Linked DNA regions of Drosophila melanogaster. The protein of the gene in region 1 interacts with the protein of each later gene in a pairwise test. Each region holds a gene or a part of one and is shown in the gene's direction. Other genes may lie near its edges.

The links.
Region 2: the proteins of CG10340 (region 1) and CG17230 interact in a two-hybrid assay, tested with the Drosophila melanogaster proteins (one large-scale study listed by BioGRID).

Annotation. Positions count from the first base shown.
Region 1 is NT_033777.3:16,607,368-16,622,027, reverse strand, and holds CG10340 (uncharacterized protein), read left to right. Parts: upstream 1-7,636; 5' UTR 7,637-7,679; coding exon 7,680-7,924; intron 7,925-7,980; coding exon 7,981-8,572; 3' UTR 8,573-8,630; downstream 8,631-14,660. Other genes in the region: CG14893 (uncharacterized protein), read right to left, coding at 1-289, 349-859, 919-1,031, 1,091-1,199; CG17560 (uncharacterized protein), read right to left, coding at 2,331-2,418, 2,474-3,185, 3,241-3,751, 3,809-3,921, 3,972-4,047; CG17562 (uncharacterized protein), read right to left, coding at 4,948-5,035, 5,095-5,806, 5,864-6,374, 6,431-6,619; CG12783 (uncharacterized protein), read left to right, coding at 8,686-8,719, 8,778-9,102, 9,165-9,701, 9,759-9,903, 9,974-10,379, 10,444-10,478; NPF (neuropeptide F), read right to left, coding at 10,888-10,920, 10,974-11,249.
Region 2 is NT_033777.3:11,432,278-11,448,327, forward strand, and holds the start of CG17230 (uncharacterized protein), read left to right. Parts: upstream 1-5,507; 5' UTR 5,508-5,603; coding exon of another isoform or gene 5,604-5,804; 5' UTR 5,805-5,822; intron 5,823-5,865; coding exon of another isoform or gene 5,866-6,088; intron 6,089-6,146; coding exon of another isoform or gene 6,147-6,409; intron 6,410-6,502; coding exon of another isoform or gene 6,503-6,610; intron 6,611-7,607; coding exon of another isoform or gene 7,608-8,358; intron 8,359-8,618; coding exon of another isoform or gene 8,619-8,708; intron 8,709-8,845; coding exon of another isoform or gene 8,846-8,969; intron 8,970-9,914; exon of another isoform or gene 9,915-10,029; intron 10,030-13,579; exon of another isoform or gene 13,580-13,717; intron 13,718-14,841; coding exon of another isoform or gene 14,842-15,889; exon of another isoform or gene 15,890-16,050. Other genes in the region: CG5276 (uncharacterized protein), read left to right, coding at 1-663, 718-1,015; Exd2 (exonuclease 3'-5' domain-containing 2), read right to left, coding at 1,279-1,687, 1,895-3,022, 3,085-3,299; CG5281 (uncharacterized protein), read left to right, coding at 3,903-4,946; sals (sarcomere length short), read right to left, coding at 5,604-5,804, 5,866-6,088, 6,147-6,409, 6,503-6,610, 7,608-8,358, 8,619-8,708, 8,846-8,969, 14,842-15,889.

The DNA of each region.
Region 1 (14,660 bases):
AGTGAGTGCTTTATGAAGTCCGTGTTGAGTAGTAGATTCTTTTCACTGGGAGCTAAGGTGTAGATGGCGGGCTGGGATATAGCATTTCGTTGGGATTTGTCTTTGGATGTTTGCCATATGCTGGCCAGAGCCGCATTTGCACAGTAGTCCACGGGCACCAAGCTGGCATAGCCATCTTTATCGTAGGTGGTCAGGCGGAGGACTCCATGGCTCACGCCATAAATGTGAGCAATGGGTCCGTAGAGATTATCGATCCAACCGGAAACAGGCTCCTCATGGGTCGCAATTACTGTGAGAAAGCCATGTTTATCAGTTTATCCTCTCCTTTTAACCACATTGAATACTCACTGACTGATGGCCGGAAGATACTCAGGGGAAGATCGCCGAACTCTCGTAGGACTACATCCTCCGCCAAGGCTTTGGTGTAGGTGTAGGTGTTGGGAAAGTTCCCAACTAGAGTGGGTGCCAGTTTGTCCATCATTTGCTCACTCAGTAGCTCACTCATGGCCAGAACCGAGTTCGCGTCGCAGGTCAGGTGTTCGGGATAGAATTTCTCCTCGATGCGAAAAATAACGCAGTTGGAGAACGCCGTTGAAATGTGCAAATAGGCCTCCAGCTGAAGCATCTCCTTGGCCAACTGGAGCATGAGTCTGGTGCCACGTGTATTGATGGCCAGTGCCACATGAAGTGGCTCATTGAAACGCACGGTGGCTGCTCCATGGATGACTATGTGCACCTCAGAAACTAGGAGCTTGCGATCTGACCTATTAATGCCCAGATCGGGGTCCAGACAGTCGCCAGCGATGACGAAGATTCTCTTCAGGGCATCTGGCTTTGCCTTTAGCAGGACTTCAAAAAGCTTGAAAAGTGAAAGCAAATCCTATGAGGGGCTCTACCTTGTTGTAACTTTTGACTTACTGGGTCCTTCTGCCATATGGCAAGACGTTCCTGAATATCCTTTCCCCTTTTGGGTCTCATCATAGCGTAGATACGTTTTACTTCCGTCGTTCGCAAGAGCTTCTCAATAATCACTAGGAAAATGTAGGTGAAATACAAACAGTTCACGTGGGTTCCTTTCCTCGGCTCATACCCTTTCCCAGAAACCCGGTGGCGCCTGTTAGGAACACCACCTTGTCTTTATAAAATCCTTGGATGCCGTTGTCCATTTCCGTTCTGGATACGATATTGTTCGGCGTCATTGTGAACAAATTCCACCGATGCGATAATTGCGAGTTAAAGACACACTTCAATAGGAAATCAATTGGGTATGGTCGCGCTTTTTATATTTGCTGCGACGGTAGACGCAGTGCCATTTGAACAGTGACCCGGCCAATCGTATGCTAAATTATATGAAATACACCTGAAATACCTAATGAATAGTCACAGCTACGGTTGAATTGCATTTCTCGGTTCTCGGCTGATTTGAGAACTGCACTGTCATCCGTGCTCGTTTGTTTTACTTTAAACACTGTTGCAGCACAATTGGAAATTTTGTTAAATAATGAAAGTTCGTTCTCCACGCCATTTTGATTAGCGTAACTCAGAAATTAAATGCAGATATTATGACAAATATTCTTCCTGGTTTTATTTGAAGAAAAGGTTAACAGGGACTGGAAATATTCGTTTTGTAATATTTAGGATCGGCTTTTGGGATCCAAACAAGAATATTTCTCTTTCCCTCTTTTTCCAAATAATTTAAATATTTTAAAAACCGCTGAAAAAAACTTAAGTCGAACATTTTTACGGATTATACCTTGATCGTACGAAACATACAAAAAATATAGATATGTAAAATATAGATGTATGTAGAAAGCTTAAAATAAATTTGTCAAAAATAAATTGGGTCCTTGAATAAATTTTCAACGAACGGAAGCCTTTTTAAATTTGTAGAAATTTTGTAGAAAAAGATTATAAATTCCCGACATATCTTAGAAATTAGTTTATAAATTTCAAAGCATACTCTTAGGCATCCACCTAAAAGGAGTTGTAAAAAGTTGCTAACGAAGTCATACAAATGTGCTCTACTCTTTTTTTTTATCATATCGAGTGATCCAGGAATCGAAAGGTGAAGAATAAGCCAAAAAGGATCGCATCCCAATGGCTTTGATGGCTCCGTACCAAAAATTTACAAATACAACAAACTGTATTTATTTAGTCGATTGCAAATTTATTTTTCGTCTCTAAAATAAATCTCTGCTGTTTTGCAAGTCACTGTGCAAATGACACTAGGTTTTTCGTTTTTATATTTTATTTTTGATAATTAATTTAAGCATCAAAATAATATGTCATACCGTTGAGTCTGTTGAGGACATCTAGCCCCTCTGCGAAAACTAAACTACAAGTCTGGCCAGAGAATACAGGATGTAACCAGCTAAAGCAACCAGCGAGGATGCGAATGCATAGTGAAGGACCTTCAGGCTGCAAACATTTTATGTTACTTAAAGCGATTGGAAAGTGTCATTTTGAAACTCACCGCATCCTCAGCTTCAGACCCTTGGCAATGGACTCCGCGGTGGGTTTCTCCTTGCCAATATAGAGACGCATTCCATACATGGCGGCCTTGAAATAGTCATTCCAATCCAACTGGGCCATGTCGAAGTCGTAAAGGTTGCGATCCTGCTTGGACATCGCTTCCCTTAGCTCCATTGTGTTGGTCATGTCAAAGTTCCAGGTGGTACTGGAGAACGGACCCAGGACGGCGATGTTCTTGTGAATCTTCCGATACAGATCCACGAGTATGGGCTTCCGGCCCTTGAGGCGCAGCAGCAGATCGAAGAAGTAGCCGGGAAGGGTGTGTAAGAAGAAGGCGGCCAGCGGAAATAGGGATGTGGTGGAGATGCACAGGACGAAGGGATACCACAGCATCTTGGTTAGCGGTATGATGTCCCGATAGATAATAGATGATTTGATAAAGTTTCCGTAGCTCATCAGGTTATTCTCGCTAGGTGCAAACGCGTAAATGGGGGGCGTCGTGACCTTTCCATTCTGTACGGATATCTCCGCCGTTCTCCAAGCGCAAGCCAATGCCACATTTACGCAGTAGTCAGCGGGAACTAGGCTGATCTTGGCTGAAGGGTCCACCGTGGTGACCCGCATTATACCGCGAGCTCCGCCGAAGCAGAGGGCCAGTGGTCCGAATAGGTTGTCCACCCATCCAACCAGGGGCTCCTTGTAAGTGGACATTACTGGGAATATTTAAGTTGCAGCTTTTGAAGGTTATTCCCAATCTGGTGCACTTACTGATCGCCGGTCGGAAGATGGACAGTGGCAGGTTGCCCGCCTCCCGCAGGATCACATCCTCGGCCAGGGCTTTGGTGTAGGTGTACGTGTTGGGGAAGGAGCCAACAAGGCTAGGTTCCATCGCGTCCAGTAATTTATTGCTTACCAGTTCACCCACGGCTAGGATCTTATCCGAACTGCAGTTCAAGTGCTCCGGATAGAATCGCTCTGCGATGTCATGCACCACGCAGTTGGAGTAGGCAGTGGATACGTGAACGAAGGACACCAGCTGGGTCATCTGCTTGGCCAGTTGAAGCATCAGACGAGTGGCTCGTACATTGATGGCCAAGGAGATGTGTAAAGCCTCGTCGAATCGCACGGTTGCAGCTCCATGGATTACAATCTGCACCTCGGCGGTCAGGATCCTTTGATCCGATTGGCTTATACCCAGATCCGGATCCAAGCAGTCGCCCGCGATGGGACAAACTCGCTGCAAGGCATCTGGCTTCGTCCTTAGGAGCACCTCAAACACCTTCGAAACACGAGCGGTCAGGACACATCTGTCACTCTAGCACTGAATATCACTCACCGGATCCTTTGCCCAGGTTGTGATTCGGTCCTCGATAGGCACTCCCCGCTTAGGTCTAATTAAGGAGTAAATCCGATTGACTTCCGTGGTCCTCAGTAGTTTCTCAATGATCACTGAAAAGCACACTCCATAAGCTTGCGAAAAGATTCGAGGAGTGGGGTACCTTTTCCCAGAAATCCGGTGCCACCCGTAAGGAACACGGTCTTGTTCTTAAAGAATCCTTGTATCTCGCTATCCATTTTGTTCCGAGTAAGGGTCTTGAACGCGTTGCGAGCCAGTGAACTGAAAAGTGATTCCAAACTAGCGCTTCTATTTATTTGGGAATCTATAAGTTACACCCAACAAAGGTCGAGTTCAGCATATTCAAGACACCCAATGGTCTCCCGTTTTAGGGAGGAGCTCGTGCTCTAAACTCAGCGAAAGTTTATTTTTTGGGTATAGATAATTATTTGTGTTGCTTCGATTAAAGGCCTAGTTGCATTTATTAATTATATTTTTGCTTACGAATGAAAATAACCTTGGTGCATTTAATTTAAAATTTTAAAGTTGATTCGAGACTTAGTATAGAGCTGCCATCTCTTGCGTGAAATTCAAATTAGTATATGTGTGAATGGTAAACAAGAATGGTAAATGATAAATTGCATGCGATGACTTTGTATTTCCGCGTATATAAATTTTGTATGGGCACGTGTAAGAAGTCCCCGATCAGTCGTTACGTAATCGCATATAAGTATCCTCGTGACTACACCGTATATGTGCTAGACCTTGTATTCTGTATAGGAACCACACATATATATGTTATATCATAACATTTTATATACCAATTTATGGCCTATTTATTTCAATAAGGTTTGATCAATAGAATACCAGAGAGCGATTTCAATTAAAAAATTATTACATTATAATAGGTGCATACTATTGTATATATATCACTTCTTGATGTAACCAGTTGCGTATACTTTATGCAATCGATTGTGTCACTCAGTGCACCTATTTAGATCGGCTCGTGAGGAAAAAACCTTATAGCTACCACCATTCAAGTAATTAAATAAAAGACATGTCTATGTGTTGTATATATTTATTTAATTCCATGACGCAATTACGAAAGTGAGTCGGTGGGTTGCCTATGTACTGCTGAATCAGACTAGGATCCTTACCAACGACCACAGTGCTAGTAGTGCCACAAAGCAAAGGACACCTTGCAGGATATGATGGAGCAGCTTTAAACTAAAATACAATTAGATGTAATACACTTTGTAAGAAACAGAAAAGACAATGGAAACTACCGCTTAATGAGCTTCTTGCCCTGTGCAATGGACTCTGGGGTGGGTGCCTCGTTTCCCAAGAACTGTCTCATGCCACGCAGAGCTTGAACGAAGTATTCCTTCCAGTTGAGGCTGACCATATCAAAGTAGTATATCCTTCGATCCTCCTCCGACATCTGCTGCCTCAAGTGATCCGTATTCCGCATGTCAAAGCGCCAGCTTTTGCAGGCGAATGGGCCCAGGATGCCGAGAGTCTTGTGGATCTTTTGGTAAACCTTTACTAGTCTGGGCTTCCGGCCACTCAGCCAGAGAGCCAGGTCAAAAAAGTAGGCTGGCAGGGTGTGATAGAAGAAAGCTGCCAGGGGGAAGAGCCACGGCACTGTGATGCAGTGGATGAAGGGATACCATATCATCTTTGTCAGCGGGCAGTTGGTGCGTCCATCGAGAGCATGTCGAATGAACTCCCCGTGGGTGATCTTGTTCTGCTCAATGGGCGCCAGTTGGTAGATGAGAGGAGTTTCTTGTGTTCCCATCTCGTTACCTTCCACAATGGTCTTCCAGGTACAGGCCAGAGTCAAATTGGCACAATAATCCACGGGCACCAGGCTTGCCTCGGCATGGTGATCGATGGTGGCAATGCGCAGTACTCCACGGGCCACCCCGAAAAGAATTGCCATTGGTCCGTACATGTTGTCTATCCAGCCGGAGATGGGTTCCTTGTGGGCCGCAATAACTGGGTAAGGGTAGAAATGACAAGATGTAGACAGAGTACGTAATAAGGATTACTTACTGACTGCCGGTCGGAAGATGCAAAGTGGCAAGCCACCCGCTTCCTTCAGGATCACATCCTCCGCCAGTGCTTTGGTGTACGTGTACGTGTTGGGAAACGAGCCAAGGAGCGCTTGCTCCATGTTGTCCAGTAGCTCGTCACTCATCAGCTCTGCCATTGCAAGCACCTTATCGGAACTGCAGTTGAGATGCTCGGGGTAGAAATTTTCCTTGATGTTGTAGATAACGCAGTTGGAGAAGGCGGTCGATACATGAACGAAGGCCTCCAGCTGCCTCATTTCCTTGGCCAGTTGAATCATCAGCTTGGTGGCCCTTGTGTTGATGGCCAGGGCCACGTGAAGCGGCTCATTGAATCGCACGGTGGCAGCTCCATGGATGACAATCTGCACCTCGGAGGCCAGAAGTCTTCGATCATTCTCGCTGATTCCCAAATCAAAGTCGAGGCAATCCCCAGCGATGGGACATACTCTTTGAAGTGCCTCCGGCTTGGACTTCAGCAGCAGTTCAAATACCTTTTCCACACCTTTCGAGTGAGTATTTCTTTTAAATTTCCTATCGCCTTACTTACCGCATCTTTTGACCAGGTGATAATCCGATCCTTAATCTCAACTCCGCGCTTTGGTCTAATTAGCACATAGATGCGTTTCACCTCTGTGGTCCGCAAAAGTTTCTCAATAACGACTTTACCCAAAAAGCCGGTGGCTCCAGTTAGGAACACCGTTTTGCTCCGGAAGCATCTTTGAATATCCGTATCCATTTTTAGAAGTATGGTTTACGCTTGAATTGGCGGCGAAAAAAAGTCTATCCGATAGAAGCAAAAGTTGCAGTCGTTTTTAACAAAGAACGGCTTTAATGAAAATCACCTTGATTTCACTGCGGATATTTATACAAAATTTTCGACCGTGCGGTGAACTGAAGACCCAGGGCTGGTAATCACGAATAATATTATAGAACTTACTTACGCATCTGGTTTCCAATTTTATTGTATGCCAGGGTAATGGCTCCTAAAAGTAGTGAAAGTTGTTTGCTATTTAAATAAACTCTTCAGTTTACTTTATTACTGCACCCCTGTCTTATTTCCCTATATGTTCATTTCCATATTCTTTTAATCGAGTATAGCCTATTTGCTAACCAAATGCGCTACAAAGGAGGTCTAAGTACGGATTTCAAGTAAGATTATGAAATACGAACCATTTCTTGTTTGTAGAATTTATTGGCTGTCAGTGTCGTTCCCTATTGAAACATTTAATTTAGTGATGAAAACAACTAAATATAAAGATTAAATTACGAATATTTTGAAAAATAAATAATAAATGATACCCAGAAGGTTTTAGATTAGTTCATGATTAGATAACCGGTTATTTACATTTATTAAAAAATATTAATGTGTAATTTAAATACTTATTTTTGCGAACATGTCGACATAAATATGTAACGCTCTACCTTTGTGTTGAAACTGTGAAGATTTCAAATTTATCAACTTCCTATGTTTTTCCGCCAAAGTAGTAATGACTGTAAAAAATGTATGTTTGCAATTGCCTACTTTTGAAATAAGCAGCTAACTGGATTTGTTTTAAAACGTCATGGCAGCCTAGACGAAATACGGTCTGCAGCTTAACATTTTGTGTCACAAAAATAAAATAAATAAATAAAAAGATAATAATTATTTTGAGCATCGCGCATGTGATGTAGAAAAAGTCTTACCCGCGCCCATAGCCCATCGCTAGAGCCAACTATCGATATATATAGTATCGATTTTCTTATTGACAATCAGAATCAGCTGTCTAGTTGTATAATTTTTGATGTGAGGTGAGGAAATGGCATGCGCCAAGAAATTGCTTTTTCGCGTTTTCCTGAATAACTCTTTGACGGCGAACCGCACAATCACCATGTCCGCCGCGCGACGTGCCGAGGAGGCCATTGAGAAGCTGAAGGAGGACAATCCCTACTACTCCAAGTACGCGAGCAAGATTGCCAAGTTGCAGCAGACGTCGGCTGAGGAGTTCCTGGATCGCGTGGAGCGTGTGGTGAATCCCATCAAAGATGGGCAGAGCCAGGCCAGGTAAGCTCAGTATTCGGGCAGAAGACAATCCATAGCTGATCCCTTGCCAATTCCAGGTCCTACTCCGAGCTTCTGAATCCCAAGCAAAAACTGCAGGCTGAGCAGGCAGCTGAACTGCCCCACAAGAAGCTCACTGATATCATGAAACTGGAACTGATTGAGGACAAGACCGCCGAAGAGGTCTCCCAGATTTGGCTGGAGTACCATAAGACCAAGGAGGTCCTGGCCGCCACTCTAAGCACATCTCAGTACGAGAACCTCATGGCGCGCGCCAAGGAGCACCCCGTCTTTCTGCTGCCACTGCCCCGCAGTGAGGGATTCGAGTTTGTCATGCTCCAGTTCGCAGCCAACACCGTGCACTTCACTCCGCTTTTGGCGTACCAGGTGCACCATGAGAACGCTCCGGAGTGTCTCACAGTGGTTCACTATACCGAGGTCCAAGACAAGGGTGTAGTTCTCATGCGCGGTGAATACGACACTAAGGTACTCACAGCCCAGGAGGCTCAGTGTCTGGCCAATGAGTTGCAGATGTTCTACCTGAAGCCCGACGAGGGCAAGCTGCGCTTGCTGAACACTTTTACCCGTAAGCCGGACGAGTTCAAGCACATGGATCTAATTAAGGAAGTTGAGAACATACAGCTGGTCTAGGCCCTGCGATTTTAATCAAAATAAATAGAACAAACACGACAAGGATATATTAAACACGAAACAGTATTCGTTTTGCAAATTTTAAGTCCTAATTAATAGCCAATGCACACAAGATGGAGCACTTTGATTCGGTGATGGAAGATATTGGTAAATATTCAAAAGTCAAGAAACGCTTTGCATGCACAAGCATAGCTCACGCCCACAGGTTTCGGAAGGGTCCATCTCTTTGCCACTGTGACACTCGGTCTCCTGCAGATGCTCACCATCCAAGAAACAATGGGCATGGGCATCATTGGTCCGGCGGCCGTCTGCGATCTCCGCATGAATGAGGCGCAGTTGGCCTCGTTAACAGCGGCCGGCTTTATGGGCATTATATGCTCCTCTTACTTCTGGGGCTACATCACTGACAAGAAAGGTCGGCGCTGGACCCTTTTGCGGACCATTACTATAAGCAACTTGTGTTCACTGGCCTCAATGTTTACGGTAACATTCACTGGCTTCTTTGTCATGCGCTTCATCACATGTATTTTGTGAGTACCATGAGGAGATCGAAGACCACAGTGTACACTTAGAAATTTACGCTTTCCTTCAGTGTGGCCGGACCAAGCTTCGTGGCAGCCACCTACCTAAGTGAGTTCTGTTCGCACCGGATTATGGTCCGTTCCATAACTCACTTGTACATGTTTACTGGCTTTGCCATGATCTCGTGCCCTGCGTGGGCTACGCTCTTTCTCAGCTCGGGCTTAATAGAGTTTGAGGAGAAGTTAGTGGGCTCCTTGACACTAAGACCTTGGCGGGTTTTGGGTTGTTTGTACATTCTGCCGGGTGTGGTTGCCTTTTTGCTGTTGCTCCTTTTGCCGGAAAGCCCCAAGTTTTTGCTAATGATTGGTGAGACGAAAAGAGGCTTAGATACTATGGAGTGGATATCCCGCAAGAACACCGGACGTACTCTTAGCGAGGATCAAATGAAACGTTTGCTCGCCTACCAGGAGCACGTTCAGGTCAAGCGGCGGAAGGAGCATCAGAACTTCTTTCGCTCCATGCTGGACGATGCTATGCCCCTCGTTCGGAAGCCCTACGGCGGCTATTTCACGTGCGTTTGCATGGTTATGTTCGTCCTAGGGCTGCTGTAAGTATCGGTTGAAGGCTAGGGTCGTTATCTTTTGCTGATTCCAACAATTCACAGGACACACGGCCTGGGAATTTGGTATACGGCCATGCGAAACCGTTGCAATATGAGGCAGGGGAACACGAATGGCATGACCTTCTGCCAGGTACTTTTTGTTCCAGAAACGGGTCCGTTTATTGAAACTGAATCGGACTTGGACGTGGTAAGCCAAGAAACCTCCGCTAACTAGTCTGCCAACGTTTTTAAAAATCAACATATTCATAATTTACTAGGTCTGTAGTGACTCCTTTAAGGGCTTCAACGATTCCTTTGTTCTGGGCTTTGTCTATGTAGTGCTGTACAACATATCCTGGGCATCGCTATTCTGCGTGCACAAGAAGGTGATGTTCGTATTCTCCCTAGTGGCCTCCTCGACATTTGGATTTCTGCTTATCTTTGCCACCAACCACATGTTGCAGCTCTTTTCGCTCGTGTTCCTGATCGCTTTTCCCGGCATCATAATTGGGCTGCTCGGTGGTTCCCTATTGGTATTCGTGCCCACCTACCTGCGCGGCAAAGCCCTCTGTATCAGCCTGATGTGGTGCCGATGCGGAGCGGCGTTTGGGGCCATGTTGGTGGGCTCCAAGATCCAGTACAACTGCGAACTCTTCCTGTTGGCGATCTCCATACTACCCTTGAGTAAGATGCGATGCCAATGATCCTTGAATATAAGTTATGCCATTTCTAATTGCTTTACCTACAGTTGCCGCTTGTATGGAGGGGTACTTGCCATTGTGACTTCAGGGAATATGTAATAAGTAATAAGTAATTGCTCTCTTTAGCCATGTTATCCAAATTAAAGCGCGGCCCAAAAGTAGGCAAGTATGTCATGTCTTTGGGTTTTCATTAAAGCGACTTGTAGTATACTCAAGGTAGCAAGCTGTATATTTCATTTTTTATATTGCTGAAGTGAAAACCATAATTTGATCTTTGCACCATTTATTTAAGTATTAACATCGATTATTGGGGTAATTCATTTATTCAACCGACATCAAGACTAGAGTAAATACTTATTTCTGTAGCTGCAACTACTTGTTCTTTCCCAGCACGTTAAACTATTGCCCCGAAAAACAATTTAAATAAAAATGCGTATGCTAATAACTATCATCATGAGTTAGTGACGTTGCCATGGTCGTCTAAAATGGATTTAGAATATCTCCTCCTCATTAAAACCGCGAGCCTGTAACATAAATCTATAATTTTCCGCCCAAAAGTCAGTTATTCTATGCTTACAAATTCTCCTCCATTGTTGGCATTTTTTCCTAGATTTATGTTGTCCATCTCGTGATTCCTCAGGATATCCATCAGCGATCCGCGCTTTCCGAACCGAACGCGGGCTCTGTCGCCGTAGTAGGTGTCCAGATCCTGCAGGAACTTGTAGGCATCAGCCATAGTGTTGACATCGTTCTTTCGCGGAGGTCTGGAGTTGGACGCCTCCACTCGGCAGCCGGCGGCTAGGAGGGCAAGGGCCACACAGGCAACCAGGATGCAACGCATTGTTTGGCACATAGTTCTATAAATGGCTAATGTATGTTTATGTAGGATGTTTTGTGTATCATTATAGAGCTATATAATATCTTAACTCAGTTAAGCTTAATTTAATTATCACTGTTCTTTTAGTAATTTGTCATGAGAATCCGAAAGGCATGCTAACATTTCGATACTTCGCAAAGTTAGGGAAGGTCGCAAAAAATTAGCAATAGCTAATAAAAGCGAACACAATAAACTTCGGTTATTTTCTGTGAGTCTTTTTGATTTATAATTTTACCAAATACGTACACACATATTACCGATGGTAATTTATAATAGTTTTTTGTTTACAGAATCGATAAAAATGAATAGTTAAGTAAAACACGTGAGCGTAACAATGTTTGTTTATAATTAGATGGTGTTTTTCCATTTACAATAATCGATGACAGGGTAAAAAAAAACCTTAGAATTAACTACCAATATTAAGTAATTTAGATCTCGTATCGCTCGGGGACCTATTTAGGGGTCTGGATCTTTGGAGGGCCTCACTTAATAGCGGGCAATCTAGTATGCTAATTGACTAAAACTAGGCTATAACTCGGTTAAGTGATCGTACAAGCTTACTGCCGTCACTTATGGTCCCTCAATGATTTTTGGGCGGGACTGACGCAAGCTGCTCATACTTCGGCCCGGAAAATAAGCAAATAAAGCCGATAATTACGAGAATTACGCGAATTATAAGGCACTTAGCCTCTAGTTAAACCCGACTTGCGCCCACCGAAAGGATGTGGCTATGAATCACAGTTTTAGGGCCTATTCGTACTAAAGAGCTCATAAAATAGTTCTAAGAAAGCGCTTTTATTTGCCATACCTGCTCTAAATGACAGCTCATTGTTTGACTATATTATTTGATATATCTATCTACCATAAGTGTCTAAGTGATTTACGGGGCAGCGGGCCTGGGTGTTGTTCCGTTAGAAAACCCTTACCTGGTTCAACTGGGAGTTTGAGTATTGGAAAGCGCAACGGTGTCACAATGCAATTGTTCGTCGGACTGTATGACTGTGTAATCAGCGGACGCGACCGTGAATAAATGTTGGCCGAAAGCCATTGGCAACAGGTATTTATAGGAGTCCCCGGCTGGAGGATGTGCCCGGCTTATCATCGCCGACCAGCCCACTCTCCAACCTCATCCAGATCCCGAGCAGAAGCGAACGGAAGTTGGCCAAACGATTCGAAACGAAACGAACACCGTGCGAAACCTCTAAAATGTTTTCATATGCAGGCTAATTATGTGGCTGCTGTCGCGTTCAAACTTTCGCAGCAGCTGGAACGGAAGAGCCACCGGGAGTGGGAGTGGCAAGCGAAGTGGGTGGGCGGTATGGAAATGGGAGCGTTGAATGGAGAATGGAAAATGGTGAACGGAGAACAGAGAACGGAGATTGGCGGGCGCTAACAAATAGTGACAGTTGGCTAACGAGATATCTGAAAACGGGGCTATCAGGAGCAGAATTACGCATAACTGAATAAATGACAAATTTTCGATAAGCAGGATTATAGTGCCTGCCACTACCCCACCTGAATTCGTTCTCGTTTGGGTTCTCTGATTTACGTGCTCACAGCCTGGGTCGACTAGCTGACTAGCTGCCTAGCTGCAATCCTCCTTCCGCCTTCGCTGGCGTCAGCGAGCTGCGGCTCTGTGTCATTAATTATAGTATTTTGATTATTGTTTAATAACTGTTGGCTTAGACGGCGACGCTGATTGCGATACGATACGATACGCGACCCACCCGTCCCGATGAGGTATTAAGTGCGCTGCTCGACTTCCCATTGCTATTTAATTTGGGGTCAGGCGGTTAAGTCATTTCAATAGAGATTCAATCGGACAATCACTGCTGTAATCTGCTTGCCAGTGGCTACGGTGCGTATACGTAATATGCTTTCGCTTGTGGTATCACAACAACGTGACATCATGAAGCGGGTTCTCTGGCTCTTCTGGATGGTTATTAACTTAATATTTGTTATAAGCGTTCTGACTAATTAACGCTCTAGCCATTACTTACTTACCAGCGTTTTTCTTTTTCATTTTTGTCTCCGTTCTCTCTCCCTGCTACTGTCGATGTGATTACCGCTCCAATTAAACTCGTTAGATATTCATATTCATTTGCGACGGGCGGTAGCGTTTTATATTTAAATCTAATTGGCATCCAACATTGTTGGTTCCTCATTGTTCGGCTAGAGAGTTTAGCTCCAGTTCTAGTTCCATTACCGACCGCCAATATAGAGCACTAGCCTTTTGCTAATAATCGGAGCCAAGATAGGCGGTACATACTGTAGCGGTGGCTACTGGAAAAGCTCTGCCGTATGTTTACCTTGCGATCGACATTCATTACAGCATCCGCGAAGCGGACAATGTCTGGCCGAAGTCCCCTGAACTTTCCTGCACTTTTTTTTATATTACGATTATCATTACTCCACGTGGAGAAAAGTGCAATAAATTATTAATATTAATATATATTGTATAATAATTTGTCTGTCCTTTGCGAGTATTAATAATTTATTAGAATGTTTTTCGTAACACGGCACACAGTAGTCGTTAGATTTAACGCATATTTCCAAATAAACGCTTAAAATGTATAGTCCTGTTTTATGAAATACGTTTTTCAACCAATTATCTGATATTTACACTCGAAGCGTTTCTTAAAACACTTTGTTTCCAAAATATTGCTTAGATAACACCTCACTTATAGTTATTCTCGCTTTCTGGCCTCGCGACAGCAATAAACATCTTGTTTGATCAAAATCTAAAAGGTCGACATTTACACAACCACTAATTAGTTTTATAACGTTCTGAAAATGCAATTTTGGGTGTAATTATATTTGTTTTGTGACTCAGCTTAGTATTGAGATATATTTTTTAATTGCTGACCGAGTGTCACATGATTTATACAATATATAAGTTCTAAGGCCTTAAAGAAATGCATGTTAAGCATGTTATTCAAAGGATTAAAACCATTATCGTTATTTTTGTCGCATCTTTTCCTTTGGGGTACTTTCAGATACAGCTTAGTCATCAAACAGTATTTACTTAGGTGTTCCTATTTACATACACTTAGCAAGAGCTAGTATAGGTTAACCTATACGTAGTAAGTAGCTGCAACAGTTTCCTGCTGTGCAAGTTTGTAGTTAGCCGGGGAACCCCTGCACTGGTTCAAGGACATCTGCAGTCGAATGTTCCGCATTGAAAGCCGCCTGTGCCAGTCGAGTCTGGCTGTCTTTCGGGTTTTCCCAGCACCGCCTATATGCACTTCATTGTTCTGCTGGATGCGACTTAGCAGGGCTTTTGTCACCTTCCATGTGCTAAATTGCCAGCGTCACTGTGCCAGTAAGTGGCTCAGACAAAACTTGTGGCTGATGCGGCGCAGCAATTACGACAAAGTGCCTTGTTTT
Region 2 (16,050 bases), 5.2 Mb from region 1:
TCCGCTCACGTCACCCATGGTGCTGCGTGGCGGTGTGATAAACTACCGGATAGCCATGATTGCCGATCTGGACACCAGTTCCAAGGTGAGCAAGGGCGATGGGAGCAGCACGTGGCGTAGCTACCTGAAGAAGGGCTACCTTACCTACACGGTGGCCAGGTCAGAGATCCAGATTAGCTGGGATGACGGGGCGCCGATAGTCCTGGAATCAGCATTTGCCCTTAAGGGCCGCGGAATGGAGCTATCTGAGCTAGTCACCTTCAACGGGCGCCTGCTCACCTTCGACGACCGAACGGGTTTGATATACGAGATTGTGAATGACAAGCCCATTCCCTGGGTGATCCTGCTCGATGGAGACGGACACAGTGCCAAGGGCTTCAAGGCCGAATGGGCCACAGTGAAAGAGCAAACGCTGTATGTGGGCTCCATGGGCAAGGAGTGGACGACAAGTGCGGGTGATTTCGAGAACAATAACCCCATGTACGTAAAGGCCATCACTCCGTCCGGCGAGGTGAGGTCGCTCAACTGGGTGGACAATTTCAAGCAGTTGCGCCTGCAGTCGATGCAAATAACCTGGCCGGGCTACATGATCCACGAGAGTGGAACCTGGTCAGAGGAAAGGAATCGCTGGTTTTTCCTGCCTAGGCGGTGTTCGAAAGAGAAGTGAGTAAGCGTGTCAGCCTTTAAATCCTTAACTCATCGATCTATCTTTGAAAGATACAACGAAACCAAGGACGAGCACATGGGCTGCAATGTCCTGGTCTCCGCCGACGAAAGCTTCACCAACGTTGAGACTGTACGGCTCGATCCTGAAAATACAACGCCCACGCATGGTTTCTCTAGCTTTAAGTTCTTGCCCGGCACCGATGACTCAATAATCGTGGCTCTTAAGTCGGAGGAGTTGAATGGCAAGACGGCCACCTTCATCACAGCCTTCGATATTGCGGGCAAGACACTGCTGCCCGAAACGAGGATCGAGACGGACTACAAGTATGAGGGATTCGAGTTCATTTAGCTCGCCATTCCAAGCTACCGCACTCCACTCTACTTCGATCCAGGTGCTTCAGTTTTAAACGTGTACATATTGTATTATTGTCCCATACGGTAAGCTTTATATTTATAGTCACCTAGATTAGTCCAGAGATGCTCATCTGCCTCATGAACCGTGACTCCTTGTCCCGTCTTGTACCATAGCACAAAAAAAAATTTTAGTTTATTTTTATTAAAATTGAAATATAAAACGTACAAAGCCGGTGGCAAACTCAGAAAAGCCCTGCATCACGTTTCTTTAATCTTCGCATCCAATCCGGCCACCATAAGATCGGCTTTATCGATGCGACCCTCGCTGGCGCGAACTTCCAGTCGATCGGCATTGTGGTTGACATTCCAGAGTTCGGGCAAAAAGCGGGGCTGCATTGTGTGCAGAAAGTGCTGCCGCCATAAGCGCTCCAGCTCCACCAGGCCGCCGAAATGATCGCGATATTGCTGCACCACCCGCTCGCCATGCTGACAGTAGTCGGAGTTTTCTACGCGATATTCCACGCTGGCTGCTTGCCGCAGGAGATCTTCTGTGATGTCCGTTTGATCGGAGTAGTAATCGAGGAGAGTCTTTTCCATTTCGGCCTTCTTTGCAGCGGGTATTTTCGCGCCATGATGAAGTAGTGCCTTGCCAGCGGATTGGACTCGTCTGGAAATAATAAAATGCAATTCAGATTCATTGAGAACTCTATGGAGATTAATTTTATCATATATCAGGGTATGTTTTGGAAAGTTAGGTGATAAAAAAGAGGCAAAATATGTCTGGTAAGATAACTGATAAGGCAATCTACATTCCTCGCAATGTATAATTTACTTTTACTTTTAACTTAGTTCTGAAAATGTATGGCATACTTACTTGAGCTGCGGATCATCATGGTACTTGACAGATCCGTCTTCCTGCTTGAAAGGAGCTTCGCACTGCACGGCCAGTTTGCTGCGAACCCTTAGATCCGAGATGTTGCTTAGCTGGTGGCAGGTTGGGCACAGGAGCAGCACATCGTCGGAGGTGTGAGATTTCATGACCAATGGGAAATGCTTTCTGTATTCCCGCGGTACCACGTTCTTCCGAATGTACGCATCCCGGTCACCACACACCACGCACTGGTTTTTCTTGATTGTTTGATAGAAGCGCCCCACATCTCCGACCGCTCGACCCGCTGGCTCGAAGTTAAGGCGGACAGTGAAGGGCTCTTCGCTTATATGCGTGCCCAGATTTTGATTGAGATACCAGGACGCCTTGCGCCTGTCAATTGTACACAGGAGTTCGCCATCGGGCGCCTGCAGCAGGCAGTTATCGTAGAAGTCTTTGGTTCGGGTAGCTATTTGCCGGTACGGTTGCTTCTTGGGCACCCATTTATTGCTTTTGGATTGGGTGGAGCCCTTTGAACGAGTTACTCCGCTGCCGGACGGGTTGAGTGTGAAGCCTTTCGTGAAGTCCACGTCGAGAAAGGGTTCGAATTTGTTGTGCATGCTATTGTCGTCCAGTTGCCTTCGTTGCCAAAAGTGTTTTGGCTGCAGATCCCTGCACAATTTTTGATAAATGGCCACCGCCATAAGTGCGTCGTTGGCAGCGTAATCAAGCTGTTTTGGCTCCAAAGTCTTGGCCTCCCAGTTGGAGCAGGCCAGGCGCCAGTGCTTGTCCAGTGTATAGTTCAGGTGAGTTTTGGAGAGCTTTCCCAGTCCCTCAGGTTTGTGGCCTGCCATTACGCAGAGGAAGCGCAGATCCAGTGTGCTGGCCACGCCTACTCCATAGTCGTGCGAAAGTTTCATGGCATCCTCCTGGGGTGCCACGCCCACTTTGATCACGGAATCGTCCTCGAGAAGCTCCCGCAGATCCTGGGGTATTTGTTTCATATGGCACAGTCGGAATAAGGCACATAGACCCCGATGGGAGCTCAATTGGAGCAAGGCCACTGGCCTGCGGCTGCCGCCCACGGTGATCCACTCGCAATCGAATCCAAGGACTTTAAAAGTCTGGCAGTGACTAAGAGGCAGAATATATATATATATTTCCATTGTCGTGAAATTAAAGTGGTTTTTACTTACTTCTTCAGTTCATTCAAAACCCATTGCGTGGTCGGATCCTGGACGGAGTTGATCACTTCTATGCGTCGCTGGGGCACCAGGCTGCCGAAGGACCAGACGCGACGCAGTGGACACAGCAGTCGGTGCCTGTGCCGCACCAGGACGTATACCAAGCCAACTCCTGCGGCCAGAATCGCCCAATTTCTTTTGGTGGCGACTGCCGATTCCCGAGTCATTGTTCTCCTTTCGGAGTTCAGCAGCTGATTGGCTGGCCTGCCAACTTACGTTTTCACAAACCGTAAAAGCCGGTCTAAACAAGTTTCGGAATATTTATAACCGTAATTTGAATGTGCTATGCCAAAATAGTTTTACAGTTTTAATACATTTTAAGCAAAACTTGTTTCAAATCTTTTAAAAGTTCATAAAAATATATCGAAATAAAACCGTTAAACATGACGAGTCGTTTAAAAAGGTGGCATTGTTGGCTGGACTAAGATCTTCGGGGTGGCAATACTGGCCCACAGGGTTTTCCGGAATCTCCATTCGCGAAAAGAATTAAAAATGTTTAATTAAACGCAGTCGGAGCGTGCAAACAATGAATAAAACTCAGTGAAACTGGCGGCGGGGAAACGATGTGCCATTGAAAACGCAGAAAAGGCGGCAGCAGACAGTGACACAGCGCGTAAATAAGGAAGGCAATCGAAAGAAATCGATTTTTCAGGGCAGGTGGGCTACCATTAGACTCCCCACACTCATGCACACATATTGATGCAAATCCCATTTGCAGGATGCTGAAACTTTGAAGGAATCCAGAAACTGTAGAGAAGAAACCCCACAGAATGCCGGAAAACCTCGAGCTTCAGCAGTTCCAGGAGGGCGCCCCGCCCCCAGATCCCGCCCCCCGTTGGCTGGAGCGCTTGCAGCGACGATTGGGCGCCGATTGTCCCTACTTGGGTATCCTGCTGGCCACGCTCTCCTCGCTCTTCTTCTCCCTGTGCTCGGTGATTGTGAAGGGACTGGTGGACGTGAACCCCATGGAGCTGGCCTCGTTTCGATTCGTCGGAGTCCTGTTGCCGGCACTGCCCATCCTGATATACACGCGACAGCCGGTGTTTCCGGAGGGCAAGAGGGTGATACTGCTGCTGCGCTGCTTCATGGGCACAACGGGTCTGATGCTCAGCTTCTATGCCTTCCGACACATGCCCCTGGCCGATGCGAGTGTCATCATCTTCTCCACGCCCGTTTTCGTGGCCATATTTGCGCGTGCCTTCCTCAAGGAGCCGTGTACGCTGTTCAATGTCCTGACCATCAATATGACATTGCTCGGCGTGGTCCTCATCACGCGCCCACCCTTTGTGTTCGGTGACACGGCGGAGAGTGAGGATGTCGCTGGGAAGACGTACGACATCTGGGGACCAGTGGCCGCCATATCATCCACACTCTTCGGAGCCAATGTGTACATCCTGCTGCGGGCGCTCAAAAACCTGCACTTCTCCGTCATCATGACGAATTTCGGTACCATCGCTCTGGTCTACACACTGATCGTTTGCGCATCTATTGGAGCTGTGTGCTGGCCAAGCTGCGGACGGGATCGTTGGCTGGTCGTTGTACTGGGCGTATTCAGCTTCCTGGGCCAGATCCTGCTCACGCTATCGCTGCAGATCGAACAGGCCGGACCAGTGGCCATTGCTCGCTGCGCCGACATCGTCTTCGCCTTCGTCTGGCAGATGCTCTTCTTCGGAGAGACGCCCACCGCTTACTCGCTGGTGGGTGCGGTGATGGTGATGGGATCTGTGGTTCTGACGGCCCTGAAGAAATGGGCAGGCACCCTGCCACGCGAGTCGTCGCTGCGGAAGCGATTCAGGCTCATCCTGCTGGAATAGTGTGGTTCCAGAGCAACTAAAAGAGTTCGCGGTTTCTCCCTCGTCTTGTCACATCGTTCTCACCCAATCCCGGCAAGCATCAGTGGCCGGCAGCAAACCCGGTTCATTCATCGTAGACTCTACTTATATCAAGGCTCAGATCGTAGATTAATCAAAATATATAAGAAGGGACGCGTGATATCCACTCCACTCATAAGTAAATACTCGTAGTGCGTGTTTAGTTTAGCCAATTTCGCCGATTTGTTGTTTTGTACATTGTTATACATGCTTAAAATACGGTAATAAATACAACTTATGAATAAAATAAAAACAAGTTATAATTTGCATTTGAATTTCACGCTCTTCTACATGCAAATTTGCACTACATTTTTATATAATTCATTTAAATAGTTATAAATAAACAATAAAATTTCAAATCTACAGCGACACAACATTTTACATTACTTTGTAAAAATTCCGTTACATGTAGAATACAGACGGCGCGACATCGATACATACATCGACATCATACATCGATTGCAGAATTAATTTTACATCCACCTCTAGTTTTTCGTTTGTTTGTTTGTTTATTATTGTTTATGTTTATATTCTCGAAGCACACACACTCGAAAAAACAGAGCAAGGAACGGAAACAGAAACGGAAGACAAGCTGAGGGACTAGAAGCCCAAATCGGCAATAACCGCGTCCAGTTCGTCCTGCAGATTGGTGGCCCGCGATCGCACCTGCACAATTTGATCCTGCAAATTGTCGACGTTCGCCTGGAGCAGCACATTGCACTTCTTCATCGCCGCGAACCGGCTCTCGTGCTTCTTCACGCGCGGCTCCACATTCGCCTTCTTCGCGGAGTTGGGCGAGTCCTGCGGAATACGGTACAGGTGAGCTGGCTAAATAGTTTACGATTCTCTGGGGCTAACTCACCTCTGGCTCGGACTCGCTGCCCGTCTCCGCCTCACTTTCCTCCGATTCGGACTCCTCGGACTCGTCGTCGGATTCCTCCTCTTCTTCGCTGGCGTGCTCCTCCTCGGCCTCCTCTTCGTCCTCGTCCTTCTCCTCGCCGTCCACATCGTCTTCGTCTAGCTTCATGGAGGCAGCCATCTTCTGCACCTCCTTCTCCAGCTTCTTAAACTTCTTGTTCTCCTCCCTGTCATCCAGAGTTGTTTCCAGTTTAAGAACAATACTACATTACAATTTGTACTCACTTGAGGATACTCTGGTTCTTCTTCATGGCTTGCTTGAGGGCGTCCTTCTCCTTCTTGGCCGCCTCCTCTTTGACCTTCAGTTTGGTAAGCTTGCTACGCAGGATCTTGAGCTCCTTGCCAGAGCGACGCTCCCTGCGCTCCACCTTCTTCTCCTCCGGCTCGTCAGGATCGCTTTCGCTGACCTCAGGCTCCAGTTCCGGCGAGCTATCCCTTCCAAAGTTTGCATCGCTTGGTCGACGCGATCCGTCCAAGGATCCACCGCCCTGCAGCCGCAGTTAATGCAAAACGGAAAACGGGAAAGAAGGGATACACACATTGGATTAGTGAGGGCATCCTTGAGCGGGGCCTGATTTTACCTGATGCCGTGCTGCATGGTAGTGGTCGTAGTGGAAGCAATCGTCGTAGTCGTCGTCGTCGTAAGCAAAGCAATTACTAATGTGCGGTCTGTTAGTGCTTGGTGTCGCCTTTGCAAGAGAGCGTGAACGGGTTAATCGGTTAGTTGCCGCGGAGTGCAATAGCAAAGCTTTCAGGGGGATAGGAATCGGGACCGGACGTGTCCTAGACGGGTCATAACACCGCTTTGGTCTGGGCGGAAGCAGAATGCGGGTGGCGGGAGTCTTTCATGCAGCATGCGTCCGGCAGTTGGAGTTTAAGGTCGTCTACACACGAGATCTTCGGACATTGTTTATACCTCTCGTTTCGTTTTGATAAAGATTACATTTTTTAATGTCTACCATGGCATGGCCAGGTCCATTATTTGCTTAAAGAAAAATTCTGGAACCTTTTGAGCATTTCCCCAGAAACTTGATTTTGTTTTGTCTGGAATTGTGTGCAAGCAAACAGATAGCACAGGTAAGGGATGAAGGCACCTTACTTGAAAAGTATGGCTTCCGAAATTTAATACAAATTGAGCTTTGATAAAATATGGTCAGTTTTGAATTTCATTTTTCGCTTTCTCTTGATAATAATTTTACTATTCAACTTGTCTGATTCCTTCTCAACAGCAAGCTGTCTGCTGGCTTCAATCAGATTTCTGGTATTTTAAGTCTCGTGTGCAAACCGTTTTTAAGAAGGAAGAAAACAAGGTGTATCCACGGGTAATCCTTTCCCAGACCCATTCCACATTTGTGTCAAGTGTTGTCAGCTGATCTGTTTCTCTGGCTACAGTGGCTACTAGGGACAACTAACGAGGGATCTAAGGCGGAGTCTACGAATTGCGGTGGCTTCGTTAGCTGCTCCCGTCTACTTGCCGCCCTCAGCGGACGCAGCGAGGCGACGCCGGCGACACTAAAAACAAGAAAGAAGGACTAGCTTCGGAGTCCGATGCTTTGCATACCCTTGGAGATAGTTATGTTGTAAATGGTTGTAATCCAAAATCCTAATCTCAACTGACAACACTTTGAGCAGCATCCCATTACCTACATATACATATTACCGAACCCGTTCTGCAAAAGGAATTACCTGAAGAGCTGCTGCCAACTTGCGTTCGAGCAACTGAATCTGGCGGCGCTGCTCCTCGATCTCCGTCTTGGCCTCCACCAGCTGCTCGGCGGTGCTCTGATAGTTTTGCTCCACCTCCTTGGACACCTTCCGTGCGTCCTCTACCTCGCGCTTCAGGGAGTTGACGTAGGTCTGTTCGGCGGTGGGCGTAGGATCCATGGTGGCCACAATCACATTGGATCCGTACTCGAGATTCTTTTCGCGTGACTTCTCGCGTTCCAGTTCGGTCTCTAGGGTGCGGATTTTGGCCAGCAGCTTCTTGTTCTCGCGATCCTGCGCCTCACGGTTTCGCAACTCCAGTGCCAGCATTTGTTTGGTGCTCTGCAGATCGTCGCGGATCTTGTCGATGTCGTCCAGCTCGTCGGGGCTTTCCTCGTCGATGGACATAGCCGATACGATGCTGGGCCGGGATCCTCCGGCTCCCAAGGCCGTGGCACTGCCCGGTCCGAGTGCATGGCTGCTAGGCGCCTCGCTGAGCATGTTGATCTTCGACTGCGACTTCTGCAACTGCTCCTCGATGGTCATCTGTCGGCGGAACTTGCGCAGACCGTCCAGCACCGGCTTGCTGCGATCGTTGGTCTTCGTTGGCTTCAACTTGATGCCGCCCTGGATCTGCTTGAGCAGCTTGTTGTGCGAGTTGCCCTTCTCCGTCTCGTAGATGAACTTGTCGTCCAATTTGGTTATCGACTTGCACGTCAGGATGGGCTGAGATCTATTAGGATTTGAATTGTTATAAAAGAGATTTTTGAACATTTTCGTGCAGAGTTATCTATTATTTGGCTGCTGGTACTTCTGCACACTTAAAATTTAAGTAAAAGTCATTAACATTTGCCGGATAAAGTGGCGTAAACGCAGTAAGATGCTCTAGGTACTCTTTCCTGTGGCCTTAAATAACTTCAGTTTTCATTCCCTTTTTAATTATCGGGAGTATTGCAGTCGGTAATTACTGCACAGCATGCGGACACCACTCACCTATCGTTGCAGGCCACATGGCGCAGCTTCTTGCCGCTCTCCACCTCCTTCATCATCTCGGACCAGTCGGGGCGCCTTCGGGGTCGAGTCCTGCGAATCGAAGCGAATCGGAATTATGGCCATTCTGCGCCTTCAAGGTAAAAACTATCCCGATGCCAGGATATTCGGGTATGCAAGCACTGGCGGTGGTCAGGGTTCATGGGTCAGTCGTCGAGGTTTCCACTCACCTGAGCTTCTCGAGGGTCTCCTTCTGTGTGCTGCTGAGCACTCTCTTCTCACCGGGAGCTAGGGGCGGGGGCGGCGGTGGCGGGGCCTTGGGCACCAGCGAGGGCAGCGGCGGCGGGGCGGGAACTGCAACAATAAAACACGGAATGCACCCAAGTGGGCGGCGGTTATTCTCTGCCAAATGGTGGGTGGGGCACTCGCTGCAAGTGGTGCAAGTGGGCGCGAGGTTTGGTCGTTGGGCATTAGAGCAAATCGCCGGGCGCTGCGTGCACTCGCGGTTATTAAATATAATTTTAATTTAATGAGTTTGCAATTTGTTTCAGTTGTTTGTTGTTCTTTCGGCTCCCGGGGGGTTCCTTAGTCAACCCGCCAGAGGATTCGCCACCCCAGTATTTAGCTGTGCTTTGCGAGCAAAGTTGCACCATACATATCAATACAGGGCAAAGAGAATGGAATGGATGGCTTTACACTCCGAACATTAAGGGTTATTTATTCCTTTTCGGTTTTTGTTTTAAAAGGTTCTGACTCTATCAATTCCCCAATTGTATTAGTTTAAATCTATTTTCATCTTTTCAGCTAGTACATTTTAAATCACTTAAATGCCAATCTTAAGCATATCTAACATTTTCCTTACAAAACAGAGGACCCAAACTATTATGTCAGCTGGATTATACATTTTAGAGAATACATTTTGGGAATTGTCTAGTGTTTTGAAAAATGTCAGTTCATCATTTCGCCTTTTAGCCAAACACAATATGAATAGAAAAGGCTTATAGTCTGTTTATCTGAAGTTTCGCCTGGTGTATGGGGGGCTCCTAATAGAATGAGAGCCTAGACACATGGCTGTCTCTGTCGGAAGTTGCAGCAGAGATTGAAAAGTTAGTGCCTGCCTCCGTTGCGGCCTCCGCCTACGTTTCGTCCTCGTCCTCGTCCTGCTCCCCCGACACCGTCTTGTCGTGGAACGTGGACCTGGCTTTGATGGTGTTTTATTGCCTTAACACCATTCATTCGATTTCTTTGGGACTCATACACAGGCATGCATCAAGATGGGTTTCTTTCATAATTTTTTATCGAATACTTTGCATTCCTTCATGCTTTTTCCTTTCGGCTTGTTGTTCAAAAGTGTAAAAGTCAAACAACAAAAAGAAGAGAAAAACAATGAAGGCACCACCACCAGCACCATCACCATCACCATCACCAAGTGATGAAAAGCTGACAAATCTGTTAATTAGCTTTGTTTGAGTGAGTCCTGGCAGGAAGCAGGGGCAGGAGATTTGATGCCTTTTGGGTGGGACTGTGTTACCAAGGCCACAACCGCCAGGGCCTTATCCTTTGTCTGAGCTCCGGCTCCGGCTCCGGCTCCTTCTCCGTCTCCGGTTTAGTCTGCCTTCTCCTTTTTCGGTTTTCCAGTTTTTCGGTTTCTCGGTTGCGCCTGGCTGGATCTGCACTTAATCTTTAAGTGGTTGGCTGCCTTTTGCGGTGCATTAGTATCCGAAATACCTTCCGAAACCCCCTCGACCTGAGTGAAAAAGAGGTGGATAACTTGGCCAAACTGGAGAGGTAATGAAACTAATCCGAACTCGTGTTACTTTGCCGAATAAAATCAGAGCAAACGACCAACTTGATTATTGTCTAGAGCTGCTTCACCTCAAGCTACCGATCCTGCAGCTCCTCATGAATTTTCCCCCAATGTCTGCATGTTAATGAACTGCTTCCATGGGGGCAGAGAAGCTCTGATTAAAATACGTGGTCAACTTTTCGGACAGCCAATTGAGGACGCGTTTAGTGAGTTGCGCTCAATTCGGTTTAGTAATTTATGGACAAAAGCTCTCCCCCTAACCACTAAACCCGCCCTCGAATCCCTGGCAGTTATCCTAAATCAGTGGCAAACAAAAGTGGAAGCGGGCAAGAAACAAAAGAAAGCACAACAACATCACGCGAAGAGAAACGAGGCAAGGGTGCCGGGCAGATAAAAGTCTTCATTCATTCATGTCGACAAAATTATTTCTTATTTAAATAAAAAGCAAGCACTGCCACTGCCACGACTGAAGATGAAGAGCAGGAGCAGGTCCTGGTTCTCGGAGCTCCGAGTTGAGATGAGGCTACCCACTTAATATACCGCAAAGCCCGCACTTACGACGTCGCAGAATGAATAGCGGTGTATGTAAACATAAATTTTGCGAGCTCACTCTCGGTGAGGCATGGCACCCTCCTCATAAAGCCCCCTCCTGGCTCATTGTGTTATCATCAGCGGAATATTCTATGCATGCACAAATGTTGCCGTTGTCATTGAATCAACCCGGAGTGTGGAGTGTGGAGTGTCGGATCGGGTCTTCAAAAACTGGCGAACCCCAGGCAACTGGAGTGGGTGAGGGAAATCTGCTGCTGCTACAGGGTACTGGTTACTGCTTACTACTGGCTGGTTACTGGTTACTGGGAAGTGGAGTTCTGGTCATGGACTGCTGCCAGCCCAGCCGCCCGATGAGTGACTTCCCAGCTTCCAGGCTGTGCTCATTCATTGTCTGCCGGGGCATGATGAAGCACCGCTCAGCCAGCTCATATATTTCATGACACAGAATGGTAGGGAGTCGTTCCCCCAAAGCTCCTTTGTATGATTAGCGTTTCTGCCTTGGCCGGAACGCTGTGCGAAAGGGCTAACCAGGGATTACATGGGGCTTTTTGTAAACTATTTGGAACCCGATTAGCTCGGAAATGATGCTGTTGGTTTACCGCAAAATTCTAAGTATTTCTCTAGGATTTCACCTCGAAACCAAGTTCATTTTCCTCTCTATGAAGTGCAGCTTAAATTTATATATCTTTGGAAGCCGCTTTGGTATAAACGAATTCGGTAATGTTTTCCTTTCACAATCATTATTAACCCTAAAATAAATACAGCTCAAATTTCGAATTTAAAGCAAAGTTTTACATCTGAGGTTGTCCAATCCAACGATAATTCTGCTTTATATTGCAGCATTTGTGTAATATAAGCTGTAACGTTTTTATAAAATAAATTAGATATCATATTATTTTATTTGTTTATTTATTTTTGTTTACCGAATACTTTTGCTGTTTCCGCTGGACGGTAATCTTTATTTAATTTCCTTTGTGCCTCCGGAGACGAGCCTTAAGTCCAATTAGAAAATTCAATTTCAATTTGGATTTGTTGTGGCGTCGTTTGGGGGACACTAATCCAATTATGCAGTCAACCATTTCATTGTCGCCCAGTATAATTATGGCCAACAGCAATTGGCCAATATTAGCAAGTGTGTATATATATATATGTGTGTGTGTGCCACAGAACTTTGAACCATTTTCCTTTACGTCATTTTGACCACGCTACATCTAAATTTGAAAGAGCCTAATCATCTTTTATGCTTCACCGGGTAGGTCACACACAGAAAACCCAAAATGAAAATCACCCTCACCTATTGAAAGTCGACGTTTCTAATGACGGGCAGACCCTAGCCTTCACCACCACCAACACCACCCACCGCTTGACCCTGGAAACAAAAAAGAGCCAAGAGTTTCCCAAAAAAAGGAAGGAAATATGGGGCGCAGCCGTTACATGTCTCGCATCTACAGAGGGATACATAGAGATGAGGCTCATTTAAATAAAAGAAAATATTTTTCGTCCTGCCGCTGTTTGTCCTTTGAAGACATTCGAGCCTCTTAAGAGGGGAACTTGCGGCCAGCGCCGTCTTTTATTTCGTTTTGTTTTTTAGTGGCGGATATTTGAATATAAATGGCGCATTTAGTTAGACTCTATCAAGCTCATTCCCATATATCTTTGGCTGCTTTCGGCTCGGCCACATTCTCCCCCCCACGAGGATTCACTTCCAATTGGAGTCCGAGTTGCCTTTTATCATTCGATAGTTGCCAGTTTTTTCTTTTTTTTTTTTTTTGGGAATGAAACTTAAGAGACCAGGACGCTGGCCGGCCATGTCCTTGTGTCTCCTCACCATTGCTCATCTGGCTTTAAAACATTCTATTTTATGTTGTAGTTTTGACAGAATGAGCAATAATCATGAATTTTGTCTTAGACCATAAAAAAAGCCCACTCCACTGCGGACCCTTCCTCACAAGATTTCACCCGAACACATTAAATAAATGTTTCGCTCTCTTTTTTCCTAGTGTCCTTCTATGCTGCTCCCTTTTTTTGTTCGCTTCTGTTTGATAGGGTGACAGCTTTAAAACGGACGAACGATGCTCTGTTTTATTTTTGGCGGACATCGTTTTTTGGTCATTTTATTTAGTGACCTCTTTGGCCAGTCTCCGCCTCTTCGATCCTTTTGTTTGTCGGTCAAGATTAGGAGGCATTTGCGGTCACGTTATTGCCCACTGATTAGGTCGGGCACAAAAGGCAAGTTAACTGCCTCACACGTAGGCGTAGCGGTAGCGGTAGCCGTTGCCTTAGCCCTTTCACCCAAACCATTTGGCCAGATCCTAACGAGCTTTTCACTTCATTTTAGTTGACTGCCCCAGGGGAAAACTGGAGGCCTGGCCCACGGACACGGGCTTTCTGCAATTCAATTTTGAGGCCAGGTGACAGCATGCTTATGCAACATTTGGTTGCTTTGTTTTTTGAAAGTCTTGCCCCTGCCGACTTGCCGCCAATCGAGCCCAGCCTCGCGGCAGGAAAGTCCATTGCAGAATTACAACCTTCTTTAGTTGAGAGTGTGTGTCTGTGTGTGTGGCAATAAATACGGAATTAGAGAGGAACATTTGCTCCGGCATACCTTTGTGCTGTTATGTCGAACGCCCTTACCGACGAGCGGATGGATCCTCGCCGGAAAACGAGATGGTTGCCCAAATAAAACCCACTCGCAACTGCAGTCAGGCAGTGAAACACTTTGCGCCTCTTTCGGCTCAATGCACAACACCCACTAAAATTTAATAAATAAAAAATGATATTTATATTGCTTTATAGCCTTGTTTTTCCCACTGTTCGTTCCTTCGTTGTGCTCGTCCCTTGTCTGTGTGCGCTTTGTGGTTTTTGTTTGGGCGAAACATTTTGATGAAATATTTTTTACACATTCATTTCAAGTATATAAATTCCCATATTCCTCCCATACGAGTGTGTGCCTTCTGCATACAGACACTAGAATATCGTATATTTTCCTGCGTTTTTATAAATGAGCAGACAGCGATGGTTGTGAGCGACAGGTTACAGACATTGATGGCAGCGTGAAGCTGTATTGGCCGTTGGAAATTAAATCTTACAATGGAAATGGATATCTTGACCAAACTAGTTTCATATTTTTTGCTTAAATGCCCACTGGTTTTAATTGTTGTGTTTTTTATGGCGGAAGCATTAGCACGATAGCTATCCTTTTTAAAAGGCATCTCACATTCAGGAAATAACTGAATATTGCAGTGCGTCGGCTTTCATGGCGTATGAGTAATTTTTGTTAAAATGCATTAAACGGAATATATATTGAAAGCAATCACAATCTTTTGTGTAATTACAAAAGCACGTTTTTTAAAACAAATAAATATATATAAAATAAATATTATATAATAAAATATTACTCATACGCCCCGTACAACCCCTAAATGTTTGTTCAATCGTTAAGCTTATAAAAAATATTTACCAAAAATATCTTAACTGTGACACATCTAATCTTTTAAAAATATTCTCACGTTCCCATCCCAAATGCGAATTTTTTTTTGCACATATCGCTCATCCGCCATGGTGACGCATTATTTGTTTTGTTTGCTGCTCCCCTAGTGGTGGCCTTGCCTTTTGGCCAGGGCCGACGAAAATCGGAGAGGCAGAAAGCGTAAAAATATAAAATACATATCCCCACAGCCGCCCGCAACGTAAATTAAACATTTCTGGTTAGAAATTAGACATTAAAGAAGCAGGGGCAAAAATTTACAGCGCTTGTTGAGTCGATCCATTCGCAGAGGTTAATCGGGTTAATCCAGTCGGGCATCGGGTTAGGTTCCATCACTGGAGCTGGCTCCGGATCGGATCGATTTGGATCGGACAACTTACCGCTCTTGATGCTCGGCTCGCGCTTTATGGACGCTTTGCGTAGGGTCTTGGTCGTGAACTCGGGCTTTGGCTCCTCTTTCGGCTCCTTGAGGAGCTCATCGATCTTGGGTACCTTCTTGAGCACGGGCCGGATTTTGGCCAGGTCGTCGGTGCTCTTGCTGGGCAAAGGCTTCTCCTCGCGCTTGACATGCCGCAGCTTGGGCTTCTCTAATTTGAAACGTCGCCGCCGGTCGCGCTCCTCCTCCGTTTCGCCCTCCTCGGCCTCGTCGTCGTCTTCGGTGGCCATCTTTTTCAAGGACTTATCCCGCTTGACCACCACGCTGCGTAATTTGGGTTTCTCCATGGTAAAACGTTGGGTCAACTCACTTTCCGGTTCCGGCTTCTTGTTCACGGTGGTGGGTCGCAATTGGGCCGCCTTCTTCACGTGCTCGGGCACCTTCTCGTCCACGGTGGTGTCCTCTTCCTCGCTCTCCTCCTCTTCGGACTCGCTTTCCTCTTCGCTTTCCTCCTCCTCAGACTCGGTTTCCTCTTCGGTCTCTTCCTCCTCCTCGCTTTCTTCTTCCTCGGAGGAGGATTCGGGTGGTGGTGTCGGCTCCTTCTTCTTTTTGAGCGCTGAAGTGGTGGCTACTGGCTTCTTGGGCCCCACGGTGGGCGCCACTTTCTTGATTGGCTCCGGTGCTTTCTTGGTATTTACGGGTTCTGGTGTCTTCTTGGCCGCCGTTGTGCTTGTGGCCAGTGAAGATTTCTTTACAGGCTCTATCGTCTTCTTAGCCGGTTCAGGGGTCGAAGTCTTCCTCGCGGCTGCAGTCGTGGTAGCAGTTGCTTTTGGTTTGGCCACAGTCGGCTTTTCTCCATTTTCCTTTGTTGCCGGAGAGGCGGTCGTCGTCGTCGCTGTTTTCTTTGCCCACGGAGTGGCAGTGGGCTTTGTGGTACTGCTGGTGCCACTGGTGCCGCCGTCGTCCTTCACCCATGGCGGACGGAACGTGGTGCGTCCGCCGGGCGCACTGCTTGCACTGCTTGTCCCCGCACGGGGCGTCACAAACGGCATTTCGTAGTCGCTCGAACTGCTTGCGGTCCTCCGGACTATTCTAGACTATTCCCTCTGGTGGTTTATATTTTTTTCCAGTCTTATTGGTGTTAAATTCTCCAGGGCCCGATGTCGTCGCCCGTCTGTTCGCACACTCTTTTTAAATAATTTGCCGTGAATTC